Linked DNA regions of Arabidopsis thaliana. The protein of the gene in region 2 interacts with the protein of the main gene of each other region in a biochemical or structural test. Each region holds a gene or a part of one and is shown on either strand. Other genes may lie near its edges. The genes, in order: FIE and MEA.

Evidence for each region.
Region 1: the proteins of MEA (region 2) and FIE form a complex in vitro, tested with the Arabidopsis thaliana proteins (2 studies listed by BioGRID).

What each region holds. Positions count from the first base shown.
Region 1 is NC_003074.8:7,248,249-7,254,107, forward strand, and holds FIE (Transducin/WD40 repeat-like superfamily protein), read right to left. Parts: upstream 4,205-5,859; 5' UTR 4,007-4,204; coding exon 3,830-4,006; intron 2,987-3,829; exon of another isoform or gene 2,799-2,986; coding exon 2,733-2,798; intron 2,634-2,732; coding exon 2,511-2,633; intron 2,424-2,510; coding exon 2,343-2,423; intron 2,251-2,342; coding exon 2,158-2,250; intron 2,064-2,157; coding exon 1,988-2,063; intron 1,882-1,987; coding exon 1,802-1,881; intron 1,710-1,801; coding exon 1,638-1,709; intron 1,553-1,637; coding exon 1,493-1,552; intron 1,408-1,492; coding exon 1,311-1,407; intron 1,209-1,310; coding exon 1,145-1,208; intron 1,063-1,144; coding exon 1,003-1,062; intron 877-1,002; coding exon 816-876; 3' UTR 631-815; downstream 1-630. Other genes in the region: AT3G20730 (PPR superfamily protein), read left to right, coding at 1-630. UniProt on the Arabidopsis thaliana protein: Polycomb group (PcG) protein. PcG proteins act by forming multiprotein complexes, which are required to maintain the transcriptionally repressive state of homeotic genes throughout development.
Region 2 is NC_003070.9:542,821-549,772, reverse strand, and holds MEA (SET domain-containing protein), read right to left. Parts: upstream 5,041-6,952; 5' UTR 4,978-5,040; coding exon 4,969-4,977; intron 4,801-4,968; coding exon 4,711-4,800; intron 4,142-4,710; coding exon 3,810-4,141; intron 3,712-3,809; coding exon 3,538-3,711; intron 3,461-3,537; coding exon 3,373-3,460; intron 3,262-3,372; coding exon 3,136-3,261; intron 3,047-3,135; coding exon 2,999-3,046; intron 2,903-2,998; coding exon 2,834-2,902; intron 2,750-2,833; coding exon 2,601-2,749; intron 2,526-2,600; coding exon 2,399-2,525; intron 2,311-2,398; coding exon 2,102-2,310; intron 2,026-2,101; coding exon 1,894-2,025; intron 1,804-1,893; coding exon 1,722-1,803; intron 1,640-1,721; coding exon 1,592-1,639; coding exon of another isoform or gene 1,520-1,591; exon of another isoform or gene 1,519-1,519; intron 1,463-1,518; coding exon 1,334-1,462; intron 1,249-1,333; coding exon 1,171-1,248; intron 959-1,170; coding exon 779-958; 3' UTR 571-778; downstream 1-570. Other genes in the region: AT1G02575 (uncharacterized protein), read right to left, coding at 5,790-6,620. UniProt on the Arabidopsis thaliana protein: Polycomb group (PcG) protein. Catalytic subunit of some PcG multiprotein complex, which methylates 'Lys-27' of histone H3, leading to transcriptional repression of the affected target genes.

The DNA.
Region 1 (5,859 bases), on a different chromosome or scaffold from region 2:
AATTCGCTGATAGATATGTATGCAAAGTCTGGGGAAATCGAGGATGCAGTCCTGGCTTTCGAAGAGATGAAAGAGAAAGATGTGAGATCATGGACCTCTTTGATTGCAGGATATGGAAGACATGGGAATTTTGAGAAAGCAATTGATCTTTATAACAGAATGGAGCATGAAAGGATCAAACCGAATGACGTTACATTTCTTTCTCTCCTCTCTGCTTGTAGTCATACAGGACAAACCGAACTAGGCTGGAAGATTTACGACACAATGATCAACAAGCACGGAATCGAAGCTCGAGAAGAGCACTTATCTTGCATCATAGATATGCTTGCGCGCAGTGGCTACTTGGAAGAAGCTTATGCACTGATAAGAAGTAAAGAGGGTATTGTAAGTCTTAGCTCATCAACATGGGGAGCTTTTCTTGATGCATGCAGGCGCCATGGGAATGTGCAGCTCAGTAAAGTAGCAGCCACGCAGCTTCTGAGTATGGAACCGAGGAAACCAGTCAATTACATCAATTTGGCCAGTGTGTATGCAGCTAATGGAGCATGGGACAATGCTTTGAATACTAGAAAGCTTATGAAAGAGAGTGGTTCCTGCAATAAAGCTCCAGGATACAGCCTTGTGTATTGAACTAAGAGAATAAGACAAAATCTCCAGAAAGGGTATACACTGTGGTACAAGGGTGGACGTTAACAAGGCTACAAAGAGCATCTCAAGGTCTCAGGGAGTAGCAACATGATCAGAATTACAATAAAAGAATGGATATCTCATTTCTTCGCACTCCTAATTCATCAATTCCTACAAGACTCAGACCGCTACTTGGTAATCACGTCCCAGCGCCATATAGTCCCGTCCTCGCAGCAAGCAAGAATCGTGCTACAATCCCATGGAAGAAACAGTGTGTCAGAATCCAAAGTTTGGTTTGATTTACAGTAACTATTGAGTCATAAATAACATTAAGAAATTTTCACTGCATTGGTGAGAGAGAAGATGGATTTATACCTTCCATCGACAGACATGGCTGTTTGCCTGATTACAGACTTTGATTGATTGTGTGATAACCTATATGGCAACAGAAAATCATGTCAAGACTAAAACATTTCTTAAAGATCAAACATTGTATCTGAATCCGAAACTAACTTACTTTGTAATCAAAACAGGAGGGCAACTTTTCAAATCCCAGACATAAACCTTTCCTTCCTGATTACCTGATAACAAACCAGCGAGTAATTTGTCACAAAATGAATAAGAAAAGTTGAAGTAATCTATCTATAGAATGCAAATTTGTATCTAACGAGCTCTCTGATTACCTATCGCAACAGAACTTAAATGGAGGTCACAAGAAAACTTGATAAACCAAATATCACACATTGGAACCGGGTATCTTAATAGAACATCTGAAGCTCCCTGCAAACCACAAAAAGTTCAACTGTAAATATATGTGATGAAATGAATGATTATGTTGTGTTTGGAGCAACAATGAGATCCTAACCTCGCCAGGAGAATTCTCTTTCAGTTGTGGTTCCCACAACAGGATCTCGTTGTCCACACTCTAAAATCCGATAGAACAACACAAGAGTAAAGTGTTTTAACAGTACACCAAATGAATTAATCTTAACCATCATTGACTTACTAACCTTTGAGAGGATAAAATCACCAAACCAACGGTTACAATCTACATAATTTGTATGAATGGAAGCTGTAAATACCTACATATAGAAGTAATGTTATTTACAAAGGCCATCACCAATATTTGTATGTCACTTGTTGTTACAAGACAAGGCTAAAACAAAATACTTACAGGGAATTGGACAAATTTTGTGGGGAATTTTGATGGATCATCAGTCCATGTGAATGACTTCTCGACGTACGTCCAAAACTCTATAGACAGCCAAAGAATAAGAAGATCATACAAACGAACCACAAGCCATTTTTCTCAAAAGGTTTTTTAAAATGGAAGTTTATTACAATATGTGCTCGATCGTACCTTTCATTGACCATATTTTAATAGTGGTGTCCATACCACAACTAGCAAAGCGGTAAATATCAGACGGATGAAAATCCTACAATTTTCAAAATAAGATGGTTCCCCTTAACATTGTCTCTATATATTATTGTAGAAAACTAACTGAATTAGATAAAACAATATTGGCTCACCACACTTAGAACTTCATAGCGATGACCTCCAGCTCCAGCAAATATCAAAATACATATCCCAGTTTCAACATTCCACAAACGAACAGATTCATCCTTATTCAATTAAAACGTAACAGCTCTTAATCACCAACAAATAAAAAAGAAGTCAGGATACTTTAGGAAGAAAAGAAAGCCAAGAGATATACCTTGCTAGCAGTAATCACAAGTTGAGGTTTTAAAGGTTGTGTCCTGATTTCGTTCACTGAATCTCCATGACCCACAAGACTCTGCACATTTGCGAGCACAGATTATACAAGAAAGATATAGAATCATTTGCTAGGATACATAGAACATCCATAAAAATGCAATAATACCTTATGAATCGTTTCACTGTTGACGTCAATGACTCGGATTATACCTTTTACTCCTCCAGCCGCAACATATGGGTTCCCATTAACGCCACACGCCCAACTTACCGTGTAAAACGACTCTTCCTTCTGCTCTCCAGAGGACATAGACAAAATATAACCAAATGGCCTCAGTGAAACATCACTTACTTTAATTTGATGGAAAAGCTAATATGTATGCTTCCTTACATCTTCATCAGCATAGGATTGCAATGCTGATATGGCACCATCTCCGAGACAATTGTACAGAGTAATCTACATAATAAGAGATACACCAATGGCAGTAATGAGATTCATGAACTAGCTAAGTAAAGGTTAAATGAAAGAACCCCTTGGTTAAAGCTTCTATGAGAAACTCAAATATTTCTAACTAGTAAATCATTCAATTTAAAATCCAACGGAAACTAGGAAAGATGAAAAAAACTACAACTAGTTAAGATAAGTATATTGAGACTGAGCAACCAAACAACCTTAGTGCGGAAACTGTTAGGCACACAACATTATAAAGAGAATGAGACCTAACCAAGTGTGTAAGATTACAAGTTAACTCTACTCATTGCCGATTGGACCCCAAGGACTTTCACATGGTATCAAAGCCCACTAATCCCAAATGCTCGACCGAAGACGATTACAAATTAACTCCACTCATTACCGATTGGTTTTTCATGGAACCCGAGAACTTTACGCGGTATCAGAGCCTACTAAGCCCAAACGGGTATCCGATCGATGTTTCGACGAATACAAATGAGCCTAAAGAGCCACTATCAGGTACATTCGGAACCCACATTGAAAACAAAATAGAGCAGTCTAATGTATAAGGTAATGACTTCACTCTATCTAGTTTCAAAATTAGAAAAAAAAATAACTTCCACAAAATCTCCAATACAGGAAAGCTTAAACTAAACGCTTCATAACTCACTTGATGACCGTTTCAAAAGGAACCTCCTTAGATAAGCAGACTAACAACATCAACCAAAGTTTCAATTTTTTTTAGAACAGAATGCAAATCAAGTGTATAAGGTAATGAGTTCACTTTAAATTAGAAAACAAAAACCATATCTTCCACAAAATCTCCAAAACCAGAAAGTTTGAACTAAATGTTACATAATCTTAGACTATAGCATCAAGCAAAGTTTCAATCTTTTAATCTCACTAAAGGCTAGAAATCAGAATCCAAAATCAAACACAAAAGGAAAGGCCTTAATGTTACAATCAATCTGAATCAAAACCTAAACAGACCCAGAATTGAAAACAGTGATTTCGAATTGAAAGTCGAGATCTTTTACCCGATTTCCACCAGCGGTAACGAAGACATCGAAGAAACGAGCATCAAGGAAGTTGAAAACAACAGCATACAAAGGTTTCTTCCCTTCCTGAATCCTATTCGTCACTTTGTACGATTTCTTATTCGATGGAGTCAAAGACCCAACTATTGACTCGTTCCCTAAGGTTATCTTCGACATTCGATATTCGAAATCTCTCTCTCTGTCTGACTCTCGCACACTAATCTAAGCTCACAAGTCTCTCATGCAACAACAACTGGTGTTTTGTAATTTTCGATTAGACACAGATTCACAGGTTATTAAAATTACTGTAACCGTAGATTTTGACCTCACGACAAACTTTTATTTTGGACCTGACACAACACACAACTCACCTTTTAGAAAAAAATGGTAAGAAAAATCAAATTTAACGTTTTTTAATAGGACTTAGAATTAAACGTTACGATGAAAAATAAATATATTCTTTGATTGATACGATCGAAGTTTACCTATTTGTCTTTCTTTTTTTTCAAAGGAATATTATAGATTTGATTGAAATTTTCTGAAAGTAGTAATTATTTAATATGTAATCTTATATTATTGACCATTCATTACTATTAGTTTTACTAAAAATGGTTAAATGATATAAGGTTTGGATTTAAATGGTATCACGTTTTTATGTTTTGAAAACATTATTTTGTCAATTACATACATTTCTCAATTTTATGTAATTCTTTTCTTCCACCCAAATTTTACATATTTTTTTACCTTTTTCTCAAATTTGATACTCAATAGCTACAATTCCAACAGTACCACATATTTTTTCCATCAAGTTTACTGTATGCAAATATGGATCATTTCTTCTGGACTACACCTCCGAGAGTTTATATATCATAGTATCCATGGGTAATACGATACTTATGGAAAGTTTTATAAGATTTACTTGTAATATTGCATTAAGCCAAAATGGAGGAACGAACTTGGCTCTATAATCGACCATAGAAGTGCTCTGTTTTATTTAAAGCTTACTTTCATCTCTTACCTTAAGTTTTTATTTTATTTTCTTGCACTTTAACTAAAATAGATTTTAGATACACCAAAACAAAATCAAGATCACCGATATAAGAATTAAAAAACATAGATGCAACAACTAATAGACAAACCATAACCAATTTGAAAATAGAAAGTGTGCTAAGTAGGTTTGATGTCCGCCTATTTGAAGTTGTAAATAAATTGATTTAACATTTTATCCTCTCACTGTTGTTATTTACCATGATATCTCTTCGTTGAGAGCATTTTACTTATTTAAAATGTATTTAATGGATTTTTAAAGGGTTTATTTGAATACTTTGGAATACTTTTCCAAATAAGTCACATTATCAAAAAAGAAAATTAGAAGTTCACTATTTGGATATAACGATTTGAACATCTCCAAACAAGATAATCAAGGTCCAAACTTTGAGAAACTCATCGATAACGACAAAATTTGCGATAACGACAAAATTTACGATAGAGTCCAATCAATGTTTATAGGAAAGGAAGACAAAAAAATACATGGTTATAGTTTATTTTAATATATGTTGAATGTAATATATGAAATTATAGTGCTTTAATTATAATTTGAAATAATCAGTTTACAACGGTACAAATTATATAATTTAAACAAAAAAATAGTTTAAAGCAATTATGGATAATTTTCGAGTGGTATTGTAGAATATCACGTGTGGAAAACACATTTGTTCAAAAAAATTTAGAGATCTATAGAACCTCTAGTTTTAAACCCTAGGAGTAAACAAGTATTGAAAGCTTTTGTGGTTGTTGTGTACTTGCTCGCTTCCTCGTACAACTCTTATAGGAAAATAGCATTTCTCCTAGCACTAAGTTCTGGAAGCGAATGCTCCCAAAATCTCACAACTAATTCACAATTGCTCCTATAGGATCGAATAATACGTGAAAACTGAACTGGTATCCGAGTAAAAACCAAACTAAACACATTACTCTTCTAATTGTACCCGATAATTTTTTATTCTTTCCATTCTAATTTTTTTATTCGA
Region 2 (6,952 bases):
TGACGTAATATGACATTGTGAAATCTAACCGGATTTTGGATCCCGCCATTTAACCGTGGTCATTAACGATTCCACAAATCCAACATGTTTTTCACATCTTCATGTATATTTAGCATTTATATTTAGCAATAGTCGTTCGCGATTCCAAACATTTAAGTTTATAATTTAGATTTTTTGAAAATAGTTACTTTCGGATTTTAAAGAGCTTTTTTCTTTTTTTTTGTTTTTATTTGTTTAGATACTAAATGTTAGATGCATCAAATACATATTTACATTAAAGTAAAACCTTTCGTAAGCTACAGCCACTTTGTTGATGATTCTTCCATGTATTACTCAATAGACTACAAAATTAAATCTCGAAAAACGTTTTAAAACCAAACGAGCTAATACCTAAAATTCTAACTATACTTCATTCATAACCAATATTTTTTTTTAATGATAAAACCCATTATTTTGACATTTTTGTACATTACGTACCACAGACTTGTGTTATGTGATTTTTCGCTAAATGAAGACTAAATAAATGTAAAGTTGTGCAAAGCTTTTTTTTTCCAAAGGTCTATGCAAACTAACAACATAAACATTGTTTTTAAATTGAAATACAAAAAGAAAACTTTGAAAGTTAAGACACATATGATACAAACAAAACACCCTAAAACAAATAAAACAGAAACTTAAGTTTTGGTTTAGTAACACAAAATAGCATTACATTATTAATTGATATACCATAACATAAAAAAAGGACTGCTTGAATTGCTGCTTCTCCTCAGATCAAAAACTAACGAGCTGGACGGGCTTCCTTAGACCTTTTAGAAGCACCAGTCTTTCTAGGTTCTCGACCACGCGACCAATCCGCATGTTCTGGTCCATAGCAGTAGTCGAAGAAAAGCTCCTCACCTTCTTCGATTGCTCTCTCCGCAAATAGACCAATCCTCTGATCTCCTCTCACAATCATCAACTGCACACGAAACCATAAATTTTCGTAACCTAAATTTTCTCGACAAGAAAAAATCATTTAAAATGAGTTTGAGTTTCTTGGAATATCTTCAATATGAAAACCAATCAACGACGAGTAAAGTTGATACACGATTTAACTAAAGAAACTAACATAAGTATTTTTGTTTGTATAATGTTAGTATTTGTTCAAGATAAAGTATAACGGCTTAGTACCTTGGCGTAGCAGTTAGGTCTTGCTGAGTGATTGAGAAATTTGAACTCGTTTCCTTTACGGCGAGCATCGATTTCGAGCTGTAAAATAAATGTTACTTTGATTCGAATAGATGTGTAACCCGCGAATGATTAAAACGTTACTTCAAAATTATTCTGAAGTTACCTGATCATTCAAGGTAAAGAGGTAGGAAGAACCAATCCGATCTTCTATTCTCCCACGCTCATTAGCTTCATCATGAGTGATCAGTTCTCCAGTATATTCTCCGAGATACTCATTCTTTTTAAGAGAGTCCTGACGGGTCAAACCATATCACACAATATATTTAATGGTCTAAAGTATAAAACATTATTAAAAAAAAAAAAGTGTTATGAATGCACCAATAACTATTAAACTTATTCTTATATTTACATGATTGCTTACCCATGTAAATGCACCCCATCCATGAACATCAGACTTTCCAATGAGAATCTAGTAAAATACGGGAAATGATAGTTAAATGTCTTTCGTATAATTAGTTTTAAATTTTCGGTACGGATTTGACGTTGATTACCTTTTTATTGGTTTGAAGGAGGAATTGCATGTTCTTGCATTGGATTTGCACTGGTGTCTCACCAAGAGTGCCATCTCCACAGCTATATATAAAGTTTTTTTTATAAGACTTTTGGTTTGAATTACTTTGATTATAGAATTTGTATAAAGAGATATTGAAGTGAAAGTGTTACCTAAGAGGACAACTCCGACAAAGATCTGGATCGCATTCACGATTAGCAGCAAAACAAGGACATTGTCGATTTGTGCATTGGCCAATTGCACAATTACATCCTCCAAAGCGATTGTTGCAATCCTTTGAGCACCTGAACAAAAAATACAAACTCATGTTCAAATTAAATCTCATGGATCTTCCGGCTTAGGAAAAATTGAATGACATACCCGCAATATTTCTCGCAGCAATTTTCGTGAGTTAAACAAGGGCATTGCTGTCCACATTTTGACTTGCAAGTGCATGGTGTGTAGTGCTTATAAAACTTAGCTTCTCCACTAGTTGTTTTCTTTAAAGCAGGCGGATAACGAGCATATTTTCGGAGTCTCGATTTTTTGCGGACCGACCTACTACTTTTTCGAGATACTTTTTTGGTAACCTGTGATAAAACCATCAACACATATAGGAAACTTCATGTGTTTTTAACATACATGTCATGAGAATAATTACGACATAGGTTAGTGTACCTGATTGTGTCTTTGTGTAGTTTTGTTAAGGTCTAATGACATAGTACATTGATCTTGTTCGCGCATGTAATTGTAAATCTCTAGGCACGTCTTAAGCCCCCGAAGTATGTTTAATGCAACATCACAACTGCGAACCAGCATAATCAAGGAATACAGTGTAAGTATATATATTAATGCATTAAATCTATTTTTATTTTTTTACCTGTTTCTCCCAAATATCTCAATTCCTTTCAAGTAAAGATCCTTCTCTACAGGCGTCCACATAGTGTTGTTTGGATCTGAGACCACAATCTTGTTTGATATAGAGTTATCATTATCCATCACATGATCAGCTTCTGTCACACTCCTCACCTATTTAATATTAAACCAGTAACTAATAAACGTAATTAAGGAATAGACAAAAAAATTGAGAGAGAGAGGGAGAGAGATAGAGACCTTGAGGTAACAATGCTCACTGCATGGTTGTCTATCTTCATCCTCAAACAAACTAGATTTGTCTTCGCTCTGACAAGCCAAAGCAATCTAATTAAGTTAATCACTTAACCTTATATATAAGGGTTGTGAAACTAACAAAATAATTTAAATGAATTTAATGCTTACGGATCTAGACTCGGGCTCATACTTCTCATGCATATGACAATCGAATATCTGTAAAACAAATGATAAAATAAAATAAAAACATGTATGATCATCTCCCTTTTTTGTGGCTAAATTAAAAAAGAAAGATTCAAAGTTACCATGCAACGACGGCAATGACGTCTATCAGCAAAATCCTGGAAAGCAGTAGTTATTGTCTTGGATGTCAAATCAGAAGCCTCACCAGCAGTTCCATCATTCTTAAGCTTGAGTTCATTGTATCTTTCCTACATTAGATTTGAAAATTTAAAACATTTCTCACGACGAAAAACAACAAAAATTAAATAAGCAGGAAAGTTATTGATCGACGTATGAAGTTTTTATTCGAATATTGTTACCAATATGTCCGAAACATCCACTTCGAGGTACTTGGCGAGAGCACGCCGCACGACCAGATCATCCAAACCATAGTCCTGCCCAACCGTCCTGAAAATTTCTTGAGCAGTTTATTAAATATGGACTACAAATTAATAATCAAGAACATATGTAATGCAAAAACTAACCATATAAATCGGTCTACATCTTCAGAAAATTCGCATTTTTCTTTCTTGATTTCTTCCTCATCTTCTTCTTCATCTTCCTCATCTTCTTCACTGCTCAATTCTAGTGCCTCACCATTCAAATAATAGATTTGTCTCTTACCAATCACAGAATCACTTTCAGCCATCAGCTGGCTACTGCAATGTTAAAGAAATGTATATATGCACTATGAGTGATTACTATATAGTATATGATTAATATTTTGAAACTAGTACGAAACAAAAAACACACATGCCTTTTGGTGAAGACCCATGTAATGGATCGTGGTAGCTTCTCAACAATTGGAAGCTTGACACTTGGTAATAATGGTACATCTTCATCAAGAAATAATGGTACATCTTCTTCAAGAGCATAATCTTGATCCTCATCAAGAACATAACCTTGATCTTCGTAAGAATTATAATCAGATGAGGCACTGAAATGACGAAGTGGGTTTTGCATTCTCGACAAAAGTGATTTGTTGTCTCCTCCATTATCATCCTCTGCAGCGGGCTGGTTTAAGTCAAACGATTGATGGTGTGAAGCATGAGTAGCCACACTTGGAATGTATCTCAGCTCGAATTTTCTCTGTTAATCAAGTAATATATAGGTAAATGATTTTTTAAATTTCAGAAACTGGACTCTATATATAGTGAAACTAGAATACTTGAATACAAAAGTTTTGATTTCGATTTCTTGATATATGCATCAATCTTGGCTTTTTTGGCTGAATGTTAAAAAAAAAACAATTTGGACCTATTTAGTTTCTTTGTACTAAAAAAAACAAATTGTATTACTATTTTGTTTGACAAAAACAAAAAAATCTACTATTATTTTCAATTTTATTTTATAACCTAAGTTCCAGCTTTATATTATAAATATATTAATTATTTTTTTATTCTAAGTTTTGGATACCCGACAGATCTGGATGTCGTTATCGATTCGCTGGCATTTTCTAAATTCTGTTTTTAATTTAAAAGTTTGGAAATTTCTCTTTTTAGTTTTAAAGATTATGACTAATGTATAACTGTTTATTAGATGTATCTTAACATCTCTTTGGAATCGTATAGTTATGAGATTAAGTCCTCTCCTCTCCTTAATTTTCAGAAAAACATACAGAAGAGAATAAAATATTAAAGCAACCAAATGTCTCTTACCTTGATATGCAGAAATCTCTCCTTTTCGATTTGCTCTTTTATCTGATTTAGTTCGGGTGGCAAACCCTCACCATCGTCCTCATGGTTTTCCTAGACAAATTCAAAAATAAAAGTTTTATGGATCATGCATGGGACGAATAACATAATAGATCACAAGAAAATTCAACCCTAAATGTTATTGATCTATCATAAACACACAATTAAAATATATGGATTTCATAACCTAGTCAATTCATATATGTTTGGAGTGAAACTAACCTTCTCCATTAACCACTCGCCTCTTCTTTTTTTCTCGTCTTCTCTGATGTTGGTGAAAAGGATAATGCAAAGGGTTTTTTAAATAAGAAGTTGATTTTTTTTTGTAGAAAACCTTATTAAGGAAAATTATAATCTGGAAGAAACGTATTTGGACTTGCTTGCTTTAAAAGGAAAATAATATGGGAAATTTAAGAAAATTTTAATTTTCAAAATATAGTACTATATGTATGTAGATGTTGGGTTTGCTTGACGTTTGACAGCTCAAGTTTAAATTCATATACAATATTATAAAAAAAAAGGCGTTAACTCATATTTATGTGACAACTTGGTTTAGTAAACCAATGAAAAAATGTTGATAGATCAATATATACATTTTGGAGTGTCCGGTAAGACTTATATTAATGTCATTATATATATTAGTATTCATTCCTAGCTAGTTTTCTATTTAAGCTTATATATTATGCATATATGGAAGAAACAAAATGAGTTTAAATCTTCAAAAATATATATATGGCTATATTATTCAATTCGTAAATTTAATTATACGCATTTAAAACTTCTACGTAAATCCGATATTTTTTACTATTTATAACGTTAATTAAATCTCCAAGTTTTTCTTAAAAAGGGTGTGTTATAAAAATATAATTATAAAAAGACTTAAATTAATGTTCAATGGTTATTTTTAGATAAAATATTTTTGCTTTCTGATATTCTACTATTTTTGTGACATATATACGGGTTAAATTCCTAGCAAGAAATAGAAAATAAAAATAAAAAAATCTCAAAAACATTCAAGAGATGAGTATAATATGTCAAATATCTTACACATGATCATCATTACACATATCATCAAAAACACATGATTCACAGCCTTTTCTCGACCTCTTAATGCTCAAAGTCAACGTATTCACAAAATCCAAAAACCCTTTGAAGATCTTCATTAAACCAATTCCAACACAGATGTAATACATACACCAGTTCACAAAATTGAGACCCTCCAAACGAATGGGGAGGTTAAGTCTATCCGCCGTAACCACCACCACAAGACTTTCTACCTCATCTCTTAGCCTCCACCACCACATTATACCAAAGGTCACTGCCACAACGGCTCTCTCGGACCACCTCTCCTCCACGTAGACCCCATATATAGTGTTGTCAACCACAGGCTTAACCACGACTCTAAACCACATCAGCATCACTTCGTGTAGCCCCAAAAAGAACAAAACCCTAACCAACATCCATCTTTCATGTGTCGCAAGAAACAAGTTTTTGTCTGGATTTATAGACATGGTCGTGCTCATGGTTCTTTTGATCCCAAAGGCACAAGCTTGGGCGATGAAGAGAACGATCCAGCAGATGTAGAGATGGGAATGGAGAACAGAGCATTCTGGTTTTCCTGAGAGACTGTGGATTAAAGTGAAGACGATGATGAGAAACAAGATCGTGTATAAGACTCCGACATCTGCCTGGTGAATAACAGAGGAAACGCCGGAGACGGTGACCGGAGTTGAGGAGGTATAGAGAGAGAGACGTGAAAGAAAGAGGAAAGATAGAGGGAGGAGGAGGCTAAGAAAGCTAATGGAGATCATTTGAAATGGTCGAATCAGGGACCAGCTGTTTCTTGTGTTCTTTTGTGTTTCTTCATGTTCCATCTTAATTCGCAAAGATTGAAACACTGAGAAGAAGAAAGAAAATGGGATGATACTGTTTCTTGAATGTGAAGGAACAGAGGATGTAAGAAAGATCTATATAAAAGCATTAAGACTGTAATTGGCAGCCACGTCTATGGTCATCTAGCTACAAAGGTTTGATCTTTTCGTCTTTTCGAATGATTCAATATAATGATTTCTGTTTTGTTACAATCACCACAAAGGTTCCCTTTCTTATTTCTCTATTTTTTGGTCTACACTATACATCAAATTATAAAAACATGTCCAAACTTATGGTAATGAAAAGCCCACCAGTTTTAAAATATAGGTTTACC